Linked DNA regions of Danio rerio. The protein of the gene in region 2 purifies or fractionates together with the protein of the main gene of each other region. This does not show direct contact. Links are inferred from orthologs where the notes say so. Each region holds a gene or a part of one and is shown on either strand. Other genes may lie near its edges.

The links.
Region 1: the proteins of wrap53 (region 2) and cct4 purify together in Homo sapiens (co-immunoprecipitation; 3 studies listed by BioGRID and IntAct, with this or other methods). This does not show direct contact. The link is inferred for Danio rerio from reciprocal best matches to the Homo sapiens genes WRAP53 and CCT4.

Annotation. Positions count from the first base shown.
Region 1 is NC_133176.1:57,153,615-57,157,453, forward strand, and holds part of cct4 (T-complex protein 1 subunit delta), read right to left. Parts: intron 1,734-3,839; coding exon 1,469-1,733; intron 1-1,468. UniProt on the Homo sapiens protein: Component of the chaperonin-containing T-complex (TRiC), a molecular chaperone complex that assists the folding of actin, tubulin and other proteins upon ATP hydrolysis.
Region 2 is NC_133182.1:20,901,875-20,904,784, reverse strand, and holds part of wrap53 (telomerase Cajal body protein 1), read right to left. Parts: intron 2,142-2,910; coding exon 1,930-2,141; intron 1,580-1,929; coding exon 1,476-1,579; intron 1,394-1,475; coding exon 1,250-1,393; intron 1-1,249. UniProt on the Homo sapiens protein: RNA chaperone that plays a key role in telomere maintenance and RNA localization to Cajal bodies. Specifically recognizes and binds the Cajal body box (CAB box) present in both small Cajal body RNAs (scaRNAs) and telomerase RNA template component (TERC).

The DNA.
Region 1 (3,839 bases), on a different chromosome or scaffold from region 2:
GATGTTTTTGCCATAAAAGTTTACTGACAATTTTTCTATTGTAAATATGCTCCCGTATTACAAGTCAGACTTTTGAAAGAAGGGGGCATTACTTGATTTTAAAATGATTGAAGGAAACACACACTACTATCTATGATTATTTAATGAACATCAATGATGAACAACTTCAAATTAAAACACAAATTGCCTAAAACGCACACTCCGCACTGCCCACTCTCGTCACCGCTACCAAAGCGACCAAGCACAAAGCTTGTACTACATGTCGTTGTGACGTGCAGTTATGTTTTTTGAGAGGCGCAAGGTGGTGTGATGAGTTCTTGACAAGTAAAATATCAGAATATAATAAGAATAAATCATAACATAATTATTAATTAGCCTTGACAAAGCAGGGTCATGTGACTCCACACACGGCAGGAGTGCAATTAAAAAAATTAACCTGCAAAATATAGATCCTATTATTCACCTTATTCTCTGTGCACGAGCGGGCGCAGGCATTTGAATCTTTTTGGCTAGAGACTTCCGGTCTCCTTCACTTCCATTCATTTTTACACGTTAAAAACAGCTAGTTTTGCTGCTTTATGTTTCAAACTGATAGTTTCTTAGTATATTATTCTATTTTGTCTGTTTAATAATGCAAACACTTGTTTATAGAGCAAGTAGTTTGACCGTTTTCAGCCGTTTATTGTTCCTAGTCATTTCTCCCATAGGTAACTGAATCGGAAGTTCTGAAACAATCGCGAAAATGAGCGCACTTCCGCATTGAAGAATAAGGTCAATAGGTTCTGAATGTCTGAAATCCGGTTACTTTTCTATTAATCGCCCAGCACCACTTCATAGTAATGCATAGTGTCCACAGATCAGGATTTGCAAAGAAATTGGAATTAAAAGATCTGTTCCAACTCTCTGTGATCAGCTGCACCTCAGGAAAGAGGTCTACACTTTTAAAGCATTTTTAAAACAGTGTATGTTTGTAGTAAACATCACTATGTAATTCATAACAGCAGGAATCTCCAAAGTCACATAGTGACAGTACAACTATATACGAGGAGCAACAATATATGAGAGCAAAGTTCTAGTCAACATGTATGTGCGAGTACTGCAACCTTTGTAATGGCAAATGTGTGCGACTCGTCCTTGCAGAATTGAATAAATACCACCTTAAATACATCAAATAACCAAACTTGGTATTTTTGACTCATAAACTGAATCTCTGCTTCATCCGTGTTTGCATCTGTCACTGACTGCTGTTTATCTGACGTAACGCAGTAGAAGCAGACATGCGGGATTGGTGGGCAGAGAAAACCAGCTCATTTGCATTTAAAGGAACAGGCTACAAAAACAGCTACACTGCTCTGAGGCCAAATTGGGCATATCCTGCATTGTATTTTGAGCTTCACATTCTCAAGACACCAAAAAGCATCTTGTAAAAGGGGTACAATAAGAGCCCTCTAAATAATTTATAACTCACCCGAGTTTCTTGACCACGTTGATGTCTCTGAGGTCGACGCTGGTCGCGGTAGCAGGATCGATGACCTTCATGACAGCATCTACACTCATAGGCGCAAGCAGACTGGAGTTCTGAGACACCACCTTAGAGCAGAGCGAGGTGGAGGCGCTGTTCAGGAGACTCTCGCGGTCACTGAGCAGCAGCGGTGTACTGATGGATGTCAGGACCTCCACACCTTTATCCACAGCCTTCTGGAAGGACTCGGAAATGATGGTCGGGTGGATCCCTGCCAGGAAAAACAGATCATGTCCATTCTGTTATCATAAACACCCTTATAGTCAGGGTTTGACAGAATCTGTAGACATTTTTTGTTATTTCTGTGCATCATTTTTGTTTTATTTAATTTTTAGGGGGTTTCCACCTTTACTCGATAGAACAGTAGAAGGCATAAGACCTCGAGCAGGGAATCAAACTCGGATCACCATGACCTGATATGTCGGCACACTTAACCAGTAGGCTATTGGATATTGGGAACACAGTAACTGAAAACATTAAATAAAAATTATATCTTTTATAAAAGGATTAGAAATCAAATCCAATTATATCCACTTATTTGGTAAACAAAGCAAGTCTCTTATACAATACACCTTCTAAAAGACAGAAAATATGACTTTACAAACTGTATTGCACATAAATCATAGAAATATCTGCCTATCAGTTAATAAAATTACTGAAATTAATATAAAAACTGAATAAATATATATTTACATAAGTAAATAAATATACTCGATGGGCTAAGAATAAAATAAATAAATGAGCTTGAATGACTTCTGTGTGTGCGCCTACATTATAACCAAGTTTACATGCAAATCTCATCCAAAATTTAACAATTACTAACCGATTGGAATTAAAAATTTAAATTATTTAATGTAGTGCTTTAATTTGTTTTATTAAAATGCAATTTTTTCTGGATTGTGATTTTATAAAAACTCTTACACTTTTAGAAATAAATGAAGTATTATTCAATTTAATGTCAAAATTAGCTGCTTTAAGACACTAACCATTGTTGAATTCAAATAGTATATATAGTTTTGCTTTTGTGCGTTAATATAACATAATAAATATTCATAATAAACAAACATATATTATTTCAAAACGGTCTTTTATTTCGCATGTGATTAATCAAGATTAACCTTTGCCCAGCACTATTACCAATTCTATTGGGACTTAAAGTAGCTCCTCTCCTTTATAAGAAACAGCCTATAGCATTTATGCCCCGTTTCCACTGAGTGGTACAGTTCGGTACGCTTTTATGGTTGTTTCCCCTGTGAGAAGGCGTACCGTACTGTACCACTTTTTCAGCACCCTTTCGAAAGGGTACCAAAAGGGAGCTACACACGCAGCTGAAAGCTAATTGGTTACAGAGATACGTGTGGAGCTAGCCAGAATGAAAACAAAGGAACCATGTTTTTATACACAGCCGAGACATTAGACTGTAAAACTATATGCATATAATAAAGAGCCATGGATGACCCGAGCTCAAACAAACTTTGTCGTTGTCTTGATGTACAGACACAAAGCCAAGAAGAACAAAATCTGCCATGTCCTGTTGTTGTTTTGCGAGCCTGTCTATAAGTGTGAGCGGTTTTTGCTTTCCTCCAGGAGCTCGCGTCTATATTTGATATAACAAACTTCTTGAGCTGACGATAATACCGTGTGCGTGATTATTGAAGTGTCTCCATCATCTGATCCATTCAGAAAGAAAAGTACAAATGCGAAAGTGAAGCGCGAACAAAGGAGAAGCCCGACAACACACAGGAGCAAATTGTTTCAGCAACCTTAGTCATGAACAAACTACCATGTTAATCATCGCCTTTTGGACTATTATGATCTCTGAATGACAGAATTACTCTATAACAGAGTTTACATGTGCTGCTGAAGATTACAGACACAGATGAGAGGTTTGTGCTGACTGTGGGCTATGTTGCTTGTTGTTTATGAACCTAAATAAGGACTAACTATATACCGTGTGTAGTTTTTCTGTATTTAGTAACATCGGGAGAATGTAAGGGGCTGTCCGTGTTCATATGTAGCATTTATTTTTTTATTTTATATAATTGCAGACATTACAGTAGGCTATTTCGCACTGATTCGTTAATGAGCTGCGGTTATAATTAAATTATGTTCATAGAAAAGTTAGTAATGAACATTTATAAACAAGTATTTATGTGTATAAAGCATCTGTCTTGTGAGAAGTGCTTCTCATATGATATGTGGAGCTGTGCAGCTTTATTTCATTTATTCAAGTGAGAATGACGTCGACTAAAACTCTGTCGTACACCAAGCCCACCAAAAGGGTACCCTTGGTAGTGGAAACACAAGCCTGTTAAAG
Region 2 (2,910 bases):
CCCCTGATCTAAACAGTCTTAATTTGTGTTGCTAAGATAAAGATCTCAGGGGACTGGAACAACATGAGGGTGAGTTACTAATGACAGAAGTTTCATTTTTGAGTGAACTAACCTTTTAAATGACGTTGATTTGAAAATATGGAGCACAGATTAGGTACCACAGTATGGACTAAGCCAGTGTTTCTCAACCACGTCCCTGGAGAACCACCAGTTCTGCACATTTTCCATGTCTCCTCAATCAAACACACCTGATTCAGATCAACAGCTCATTAGCAGAGACTAAAAGACCTGTAATGGGTGTGACAGACAATGATGGTCTTGCAGGAACGTGGTTTAGAAACACTGGACCTACAATAAGCAAACAACTGAATTGGCAATTGAAATACGATGAATCAGTATTATCAGATATTGCTTTGATTATATAAAAATATATACAATTTATTATTATAGTGGTTTATTACCATGTTCACATAATATATTTGAGTCCTTAAGGTTATTTACTTATTTAGTCAATTTATTCCGTACACTTGCTGGATATTCATGTTTAATTGCTTTTGTATATTCAATAAAAATGTTCTGTTCACCATAAATCTGTATGCTAATATGGAAATCGCAATGAAAAACACAATATGAAAATAAATAAATAAATAATAATTTTCAGTTTCAAATTTTTTAAATAGATAAAATAAAATAAATTTTTAATTGAAAAATTTTATATGAAAAAAATCTCTTTTTACAAAACATATTGAGAATCACAAAATATTTTGGTAACATTTATTTTGATGGTCCATTTAAGTATTGCTAGACTGTCTGCTTAATATACTGCTATTAAACAGACATTTAACTGACTATAATAAATTTTGCATATACGTCAACTTACATTAACCCTAACCCTAACTTTAACCCCAACCTAACAGTTATAATCTAACTAATAATCTAATTAACTACTTATACTCTAATGAGAATTAGTTGGAATTTAGATGCAATGTAGCTTAAATTCAACAAACCAACCGTCAAAACAAAGTGTGACCCAGATTTTTAATTTTTAGAGCATCAAATCAGAAGAATTTTGAAACCATGTAAAACTGAAAACTGGAGAGCCATAATAAAAAGGTGAATAATTCAAATCTATTTATAAAAACTGTAATATTTTTAAAGCAGTTTTTCTCTGAACTTATCATTCTACACCAGCTTAGATTTTTTTATTTTCTACATCTTCTAAACATTATTCAAATTATAATAACTGTACCTGATGCCATTAGTACAGTCGGTGTGTGCCTGAAACTGTAGCAGTGGCTTTAGTATCTCCTCATTCCCATCAGGCAGTGCTGTTAAGGTGTCCCACACTGACACCACCCCATCAGTGTCTCCGCTCAGTAGATACCGGCCGGATCTATATCAGACGCACATATATTAATATGCTGAGGCAACAGTAAAGTAGTTCAGTTAAGTCCAGTTGTAAATTAGAATCTTACTGGTCCAGGTCAAAGTAGATGCGCTGGTTTGTATTGACATTCCTCTGCATGGAAAACAAAACCTGTCCTGGATCTCTGAGGTCCCAACACAGGATCTCTGAATCCTGAAAGCAATGATATGAAAGTGATAGTCCATCCAAAACATAAAAATGATGTCATCCTTTACTTATCAGTATCTTTCTTCAGCAACAAAAAATAAGACATTTTGAAAAATGTTGGAAACCTGTAACCATTCCATAGTAATGAAAGTTAATAGTTACAAGTTTATAGCATTCTTTAAAATATCTTCTTTTGTGTTCAACCCAATAAAAAAACTCATGAAGGCTTGGAACCATTTGAGCGAGAGTAAATGGTGAGTGCATTTTAATATTTGAGTGAACCATCCTTTTAACTGCAGAATTCAAAATGCACAAGCTAATAACAGCTCTTCTGATTGGTCGATAAGTCCACTGACCTTACGCCCGCCAGTGTACAGGTGATAGCCATTGGGTGAGAACAGCAGGTGTGTAAGGCCTCCATGGTGTCGGGTGGGCAGCAGAGCCAGCAGAGAGCCATCATCACAAGAGTAAAGGCCGACTGAGCGCGAGTACGAGCCGCAGGCATACATGGAATGGCACTGACTGAAGGCAATGCAGGAAATAATGCCAGTCTGACCCCGTTTCTTGACTTCAGAAGATACAAAATGAAGAGAAAAAAACAGTAACATTATTCATCATCAGTTATGATGAGGGTATTCATCATCAGTTTGGTTTACTATTAAAGGATAATAAAGAAACACAAGAAATGAGAAAGGTTCAGATGAAACAGGACCTCTAATTAAAGGAAGGTCTAGAACTCAGTAACCATGACTGTTGTTTTAATGAATCCCTTTCATAGCATGAGACATCAGCATAAGAGTACAGAACAGCCCTTTTAGCATTATTCTAAACATTGTCTATGCATCTGTATTATGTGCCGCACAATAAAAAAATACATTTTTGAGTCATGAATAAATTAGTTTTTTGTGGTTTTGGCAGGAAATTGATGCATTTCCATTAGGCATATTTTCATTGCAGTTCCTTTTTGTGCAATTTTAATGGTAGTGGAAATGCAGCTATAAACAACCTATGAAGTTGGGAAAAGTCTTACAGGTGCAGTATGTAAGTTTGAGACCCAGTGGTTGAACTAGGTATTGCATTCCTGGATCAAAACAAATGCAAGTACAGGTTGCCAGATTAAGAACCAACAGGAGCGAGCCTGACAATTGAGCTAAAGGCTGATTTAAATTATATTCTTTATATAAGTAACGGGTCGACGCGGTGGCGCAGTGGGTAGCATGTTTGCCTCACAGCAAGAAGGTCGCTGGTTCGAGCCTCGGCTGGGTCAGTAAGCGTTTCGGTGTGGAGTTTGCATGTTCTCCACGTGTTCGTGTGGGTTTCCTCCAGATGCTCCGGTT